2 linked regions of the Macaca mulatta genome follow. The protein of the gene in region 1 binds, or shares a complex with, the protein of each later gene. Links are inferred from orthologs where the notes say so. Each region holds a gene or a part of one and is shown on either strand. Other genes may lie near its edges.

What was found.
Region 2: PRPF19 (region 1) and PPIE share a complex: the UniProt entries of both Homo sapiens proteins name them as parts of the XAB2 complex. The link is inferred for Macaca mulatta from reciprocal best matches to the Homo sapiens genes PRPF19 and PPIE.

The regions. Positions count from the first base shown.
Region 1 is NC_133419.1:13,165,840-13,170,365, reverse strand, and holds the start of PRPF19 (pre-mRNA-processing factor 19), read right to left. Parts: upstream 3,020-4,526; 5' UTR 2,819-3,019; coding exon 2,800-2,818; intron 1,887-2,799; exon of another isoform or gene 1,799-1,886; intron 339-1,798; coding exon 189-338; intron 13-188; coding exon 1-12. UniProt on the Homo sapiens protein: Ubiquitin-protein ligase which is a core component of several complexes mainly involved pre-mRNA splicing and DNA repair. Required for pre-mRNA splicing as component of the spliceosome.
Region 2 is NC_133406.1:201,035,293-201,039,104, reverse strand, and holds part of PPIE (peptidyl-prolyl cis-trans isomerase E), read left to right. Parts: intron 1-935; coding exon 936-1,059; intron 1,060-3,812. UniProt on the Homo sapiens protein: Involved in pre-mRNA splicing as component of the spliceosome. Combines RNA-binding and PPIase activities.

The sequences.
Region 1 (4,526 bases):
TTGGGTGAGCAACTGCCGAAAGGGAAAGTAGGTATGAAGAGCATAACCCAGGGACCTCCCCTGCCATCACATCTTTTCCTTTTAGCCATAAACAGCCCACCATCTCCTCCTCCAGTGCATTGGCACCACCTCCCATCCTCTCAGGCTCTGAGCTAAGATGGCCCTAGACTAAGGCAGCCAATAGGCACCTTTGATGTCGATGAGCTGCTCCTCGGAGAGAGGCTGGTTGTTGATGGGGTCGGTACCATTCTCTGCAATGTACTTCTCAATGAGCCGCCGCTCATAAACATGATTAGAGACAGGGGACACACATGGGTGCTCCGGCACTTCATTAGAGACTGTAGAGAAAAGGCCGGCAGTGAGCTTGGAGTGAAGGCAATCTTGAGCCTAGAGGATTCCTCATCTGCTATTAGCCCCAACAAGACTAGGCATCCTCACAATCAACTAGCAAAAAGCAAGACATCTGACCCTAAGCCAGTTCTGTACTGGCCCCAGAATGCTTTCCAGCTGTGGAACTAGCTTTTCCTTTAGTCTCCTGACAATCAGATAGTCAACAAATAATTATTAACAACTACTATGTGCCAAGCACCTAGAGAACAGCAGTCCATTATCGCCACCTAATATCTGAACAATGATTGTGTACTCTATGAATACAGTTTACTCCATGACATGGAGACACACATGAAGCCATTCAAATCCCTTCCATCCATCTTAGTCTATAGCTCCAGAGGGATTATCAAAGAAATCATAAAGTCTGAGAATATAGGAATAACAAACTCAGTTTCTCCTATTCTCTCACAAAACAAAATACTTCTGTGACCTCAGATGTGACCATCCGGGTGTCCTCCAATTCAATTCTGACACCAGGTACCTGGAGATAGTGTCAGATCACACGGGTTGAGGTCTCAGTCCCACCAGACTCCCCCACCCCTTCAGATGCCAATCGCAAGCTCCAGGTTGTTTGACCTGTTCTTCTGATCTACCAGCTGTAAATCAGGGTTCCCATGACCCCCTTTTTGGGTTCAATTAATTTTCAACAGTGACTCACAGAATTGTGGGAAACACTTATGTTGACCAGTTTATTATAAAGGATATTACAAAGGGTATAGATGAAGAGGTGCATAGGATGAGGTATGGGAGAAGGAGTACAGAGCTTCCCATGCCCTCCCTGGGCACCCCACCCTCCAGGAACGCCCACATGTTCTGCTATACAGAAGCTCTTTGAATCCTGCCCTTTTGTATTTTTATGAAAACTTCATTACAAAGGCATGATTCAATAAATCACTGGTCACTAGTGACAACTTCAGCCCCTCTCGTTCCCCAGGTAAGTGGGGGGTAGGACTGAAAATCCCAACTTTCTAATACCCTTTAGTCTTTCTAGGTGACCAGTCCCCATCCTGAAGCTATTGACGTCTGCCAGCTACCAGTCAACTGATTAGGATACAGGCAGACACTTATCACCTGGAAGATTCCAAGGAGCAAAGTGGCAATCATTACAATAAAAATATTTACATGGCACATGTCTATGTGCCAAGCACAATTCTAGGCATACAGTACAGTAATTCATGTTCACAACAACCCGCAATAGAGGTATCATTTACACTCTTGCCTGCATAGACTGTGCGCCCCTTGAGGATAAGGATTACAGCTGGTCTCTCACTTCCAGTACAATGCAGATGCCCCCGGGGCACTCGGTAAACATCTAACGAATGAGTGAACCCTGCCAGGAAAGATAGTGCTGGGGAACGTAAAAGAGAGCTTTCCCAAGACTGGAAGGAAACAATGAATATGAAGGTACTTTGCGAGCTGTAATTTCTTCAATGTGAGGGATTCCTTTTCCATCATTTCCCTTCCTTCTTCCCCCTCTCTGGATCAACGTACAGGTTCTGAGAAGAGACGGAGGTGAATAGCAAAAGGGAGGGGAAACGAGTAATCTGATGAAACAACGAAAAGGGAAAGGAAAACGTATGTACGTCATGATAAAATATCAAAGGGAAAGATAGTGGAAGGTATGGAAAAAGCAAGGATTCAGGCTCCAAACTCCGTGTCACCTAACTACGTCACCCAGCTCTGCCATTGACTAGCTACGCATTCTTAGATAAGCCCCGCTCTTCCTGAGCCTTGCCTCCTCATTTGCAACACCAGGATCTTTTCTCCTTTAGGGAATTCTTGTGAGGATAAAATGAGATCCTAGACTTGGAAGCGCGTTGTAAACCAATAAGGGCTTTATAAATGTGCGCTGTTTTTAATTAGTCATACACTGTAAGGCTGGGAGCCATATACCTAGCTGCCAGCCTTGCCTACCTCTAACTCATCATGTGACCTTTACAAATTGCAAAAGCTGCGACTATCCGAGCAAGGCCTCACAAAATATCCAGTGCAATGCTCTCAATTTTGCAGATGGGGAAACCGAGGCACAGAGCCTTAAGCCAATTCACAAAGCCAACAGGAGGCGGACCCTGGACAAGACCTCGGGTTTCCTGACTCTTACATCAAGGCTGTTTCCCCTGCACCAGCTCCCTCTGTCCAGGCCTGTTTCCACTCGGTAGAATGAGGCGACCTGCCTCAGTAATGCCTGCGACAATAAACCTCCGGCACTATGTAAACTGCGGAGCACTGCGCAAATGCACCCCGCTCCGAGGGGAGGGCTCCGGGGCTGACAGGCCGCCGCTCTGCCTCTGGAGCGCCCCATTCCCGCCTCCACCCCGGCCCCGGCCCCGGCGCCGCAGTGGCCCGCACACGCTCCCGCGCCGCTCTCCGGCCTCCTGCGACCCGCGCTCGGCCGCAGGCAACACTCACTGGAGCAGATTAGGGACATGGCGCCGTTGCCGCGCTCCCAGGCGCCACACGCCGGACTCCGGGACTGGCTTCTGAGCCTCCGCGAGCCACTTCCGGTCCCCCGCTGCTGCCGGGACTGCTCAGCTGCGAGCTGGGAGCCGCCAGTCGAGCGATGCTCGCGTAGCGCTTCACGTGGGAATGGGGACAGCCGCGCGCCACTGCCTCCAGCACCTAACGGAAATAGACCTTTCCCAGAATGCAGCCGGGCAGGAAAGGGCCCGCCACGAACACTCGGTTATTTCCGGATTGACTCGGCTCGTTCCGTAAAGCGCCCGGGGATTGGCGGGGGCGTCGGAAGAGAGGAGACTCGAAACTACATTTCCCATGATGCAGTGAGAACTTAAAACCAAAGCAATTGGACAGCACTTGTTTTGACAACTGTGCGGCACTGTGTCACGGGACCCTGGTCTTTGAAACCTTGGTGTGCGCGAGAATTTCCCAATTTCCCATTGTTAAAATGCAGATTCCTCGGATCTGCGTAGACAGACTGCGCCCCACGCTATTCTAAGTCAGGTGTTTCTCGGGCCACCCTTTAAGAGACACTGCTGGATGGCCTGGTGTTAAAAATACAGAGGCAGATGGGTACAGGAACTAAGAAAACGGCTAAGACAGCGTTTTGGTCCTGACTACTACCGTTTCGCTCTGTGATTTGGGGCAATTCACATTGGCTTCCCTGCCCTTTCTTCTTTGTCAAAAGACAAAATCACAACAAATTTAGTTTAAAGTTTTTTGTTTGTTTTTGTTTTTTGGTTTTGTTTTGTTTTTGTTTTTGTTTTTAAGAGACGGACTCTGGCAATGTTGCCCAGGCTGGAACGCAGTGGCTATTCACAGGTGCAATCGTAGCAATCATGGCTATCACAGGTGCATCCTGGAACTCCTGGGCTCAAGTGATCCTTCTGCCTCAGCCTCCAGAGTAGCTCTGGGACTTAGGGTGCAATTCTATAAAATTGGGCAGCGCCTTACACTATAAAATCTAATGGTTGTTCCAATGAGCTGAACAGGGGAGCTTGGTTTTTTAGACAGAAAAGGACTGAGGAAAACAGAAACAGAACAAAAATGGGATTGGTCATTTGGTAATCTCAAAATTACTTTTCTTGTAAAGGTTAAAGTGGAGGGTACTTCTTTATCATGCCATGTAAAACTTGCCTGTTTGGGAATTTAGCTCTCCCCGCCAACACACATGCACACACACACTCTCTCTCAGAAGGTCATAAAGATCTTAGTTTCAGCTCATTGGGGTGGAACTTCGGCAGGACTCTTTTTAGCTTGGTCTGTTAGGCCTAGCGCAAGAGCTCAGTCCAAACCAGTGGCCTCTTATCAATTTATTTTGTATTTTCTGTTTCTCTTCCAGCTCAGATAGTGTATGATTCTTTGTGGATATCTGTAAGATAAGATACTCTCAGGAATCATGCAAAAGACATGTGGTGTGGACTATAAGGTATCAAGACAAACGGGCAGGATGAACAGGATGTGTGAGTGAGAGGGACTTTGACAGGTGGGCAGTATTCAGAGGAGAAGGAGAAGGAAAGGCATTCCAGAAGGAGAAACAATGTAAGCAAAAGCTTGGAGAGAAAAATAAAAGTTACAGGTACAAAAGGTAGTATGGCATAGTGGCCAAGAGCATGGACTCTGAAGTCAGACTGTGTGCTCAAATCCTAGCACCACCCAGGTGATTAACTGTATGAACT
Region 2 (3,812 bases), on another chromosome or scaffold:
TTGCTTTCTGGGCTTCCCCTCCTCTGGATACGTTGTGAATGTTGTCATTCTTCTGTATTTCTTTCTTGGCTCATGGTTTCTCTCTTTTCTCTCAGCTGAAACAGTAGCAGTCAGTCTCTAATTTTATGCAGTCTCTCTTATGCTGTTGAACTTCATGGTCTCTTTCTAGTCCTGAGCTTCAGATATTTCTGCCTGTAAGTCTCAGGCAGCTTAAGTTTGCCTAAAATGGATTCCCCCGCTTCTCTAATCCTGTCTTCCTGTATTCTCAATCTTGGCTAATTTGCCACCATTCATCCACACATTGACCCACACCAGAAATTTTGATGCAAAGCAGAACTCATAAAGTGGCCATCACAGTCAGTGGAGTCCCCCTGGATCATCCTGTATCCTCTGCTTAGTCTTATCTACTTGGAGCACAAAGCAAGGCCCAACATTCTCCACTGTCTTCTGAGCACTTAGGCCTGAGCAAGAGGGCTGCCCCCTTGCTTCCATGTAGCCAGCCAGCGTATGTGCAGGGCCAAGCATAGAGGGAGGAGGTGGTGGTACTTGGATGGATCTGCCTAACTAGAGGACAGTGGGTGGGCTGGAACTGGCATTTGAAGATATTGAGAGTTGTGGATCATGGACCAGAAAAGTGCTGTTCTGTGACTGAAGCAAGAGGAGGAAGCAGATGCATCTGAGGGCGAGCATGATGAGATAACACACCCATGTATGGGCCTCAGGCAGTGCTGAGACCTCCTGTCCCTGGGCATCCAGCTGGGTGCTACGACCATGGCTCCTGCCTCCTGCAGCCCTGTCAGGGACCAAGGCCTTCCCCGTCAGCACTTGCTCCAGCCTACTCACTGGAATTGTGTTCCGGGTGGGTGTGTAGAATACCCGCACTCCTACTTAGGGGGTGAAGGAGCTCTCTAACTAGCAATTTCTTCTGCATCTAGGGAGAGCCCGCTGCTAAAAAGGCTCGGTCAAATCCTCAGGTGTACATGGACATCAAGATTGGAAACAAGCCGGCCGGCCGCATCCAGATGCTCCTGCGTTCCGACGTCGTGCCCATGACAGCAGGTGAGCGGGATGCTGTGGTCAGAACCGCGGGACGCTGGTGGCTGAGCAGTGAGCCTTTCCCAGGTTCTTGCCGCTTCACTTCTTGTGTCCTTGATATTGCTTCTGACTTAAGTTGATTTGAGGCATCTCAGATCCTGGGATCTAGTAACAGATGGGTCAGAGCAGGTGTTTTTGAAGCTTTGTAAGTGCTGGCTTACTACTTTTTAATAATCTTTTCTTAAAAATACAAGTAAATAATGTATTCTTTTTTTTTAAAGAATACCATACACATATATTCCAATAATATTTAAGACAATAAATTGAAAATTCGTTTTCCCCTCTCTACATCATCCTGAATTCTAGAAGTAACTAGTGCTTTTATTGAGTATTCTTTGTAACTTATTAAATATTGACTTCTGTTTATTCTCTTTTTAATCTAAATTTTATTGTCTAGACATAGAAACAGTCAATTCAGTTTCACAAAGCTTGTTTTGAAAGAACAGTCGTCCCCCAGTGCTGTCCCTATGCCCTGCTGCCGACACCATTTGCTGCTGCTCGGAGCCGATTTCAACTCTTAGGTCTTGATTTTTATTTCCATGTTGATAGATAACAGGTTTATATTTCTACTTCCTGTTTTCCATTTTAAACATTATCTTCTGATTTTCTACTTCAGAGGACAAATAATTAGTTTTTTAAAATCCCCTGCCCCCTCATCTTCCCTGTATAGGTACCGTAGTTTTGGTTAGGTCCTAAGTTATTTTAACAATGTAAGCATCATGTGATAACTATCATGCACAGCATTTTGCTTTGCCTGGAATTGATAGTTGCCTTGTTTTTGCATAGTTTTCTATGTAATCGTTCCTGATTTTCTCCCAGATTCTCCTGCTGGGGGCTTTGCATCCAGGTGTCTGCATCTTGTTAAGGGGAGATGAGGGTGAGGCTGAATGCATCAACGTTCAGTATATAAACTTTCACATAGTCTCCGTTTGTCATTATGTCACCTCAGCCTTCACTATGTGTAGGATGTCCTAGTCCAGAGACCCCCTGCTTTAACCTACCAAAGACTAGACCCCCAGTTGGCTACCAGGTGGGGAAGGGGTAGCCCCCAGCTTCAGAGTCAGGGAGAGGATCCCAAAGATTAACCACTTTCTTAAACGGGCTTTCAGCCAAACTTCCTGTCTCCAGGATTACCTGCACTCTTTCCTCTGAGCTTTTGGAGTGCAAATTGAGTTGCTTCTTGGCTTTTACCAGCTTAAGATTCAGCTTTCTTGGGTCTGCTATATCATTTGGGATTCATTTGTTTTCTACCTTCAGAAATTTTGTTGCTGTTGTCTCTTCCTCCCCGCTTTATAAGTTTATTTTTGGCTGTTTTAGCCATTTTAAAGTGTACCGTTTGTTAGCGGTAATTCCTCTGTTTGAAATTTTTGAATCACCCTAAACAAAACCACTTATGAAAGATACCTATTAAATAATAACTCCCCATTTTCTCCCCCCCTTACCTTCTGATAACCGCTAATCTTTGTCTATGAATTGACCTATTCTAGATTTTCCATGTAAGTGGAATCATAACAATAGCTGTCCTTTTTCGCATCTTGCTTATTTTGCATAGCATAATGGTTTCAAGGTTCATCCTTGTACCATATGTCAGTGCCTCATTCCTTTTTGTGGCTGAATAATATTCCATCATATTTGGATAAATATCTTGTTTATTCATTTGTTGATGGGCACTTGCACATTGTTTTCATCTTTTGACTATTGTAAATAATGCCTGTGTGAATATCCACATATAAGTATATGTTTAAATCCCTGTTTTCAATTCTTTTGGATATATATGCCTAGGAGTGGAAATGCTTAGTCATATGGTAACTCTATATTTAACTTTTTGAGGAAATGCCAAACTATTTTCCATAGTGGCTGGACCATTTTACATTTCTACCAGCAATGTATGAGTGCTTCAGTTTTTCCACATCTTCTCTTTTTTTTTTTTTTGAGACAGTCTCGCACTGTTGCCTGGGCTGGAGTATGGTGGTGCGATATTGGCTCACTGCAACCTCTGCCTCCCGGGTTCAAGGGATTCTCGTGCCTTAGCCTCCCGTGTAGCTGGAATTACAGGCGTCTGCCACCACACCCAGCCAATTTTTTGTATTTTTAGTAGAGACAAGGTTTCACCATGTTGGCCAGGCTGGTCTCAAACTTCTGACCTCGTGATTTGCCTGCCTTGGCCTCCCATAGTGTTGGGATTACAGGCGTGAGCCACCGCGCCTGGCACACATCTCCACAGGTGTGAAATGGTATCTCATTGTGGTTTTTATTTTTATTCCCTACTGACTAATGATGTTGAACATCTTTTCATGTGCTTGTTGGCCATTTATATATGTTCTTTGGAGAACTATCTCTTCAAATCTTTGGCTTATATATTAACTGGATTGTTTGTTTTGTTTTTTTAAGAGACAGGATCTTGCTCTGTCTCCCAGGCTGGAGTGCAGTGGTGAGATCATGGCTTACTGTAGCTTTGAACTGTTGACCTCCAGTGATCCTCCTACCTTGACCTCCCAAAGCACTGGGATTACACCTTGCCTGGCCATTTTGTTGTTGAATTACAGGAGTTCATTATATATTCTGGATATTAAACCCATATTAAATATGATTTGCAAATCAGCATTCTCCTGTTCTGTAGGTTGCTTTGCCCTCTGTTGGTACAGTTTTTTGATGCACATCTTAAATTTTAATTCACATCTAATTATTTTTTCTTTTACCTGTGCTTTTGGTGTGAC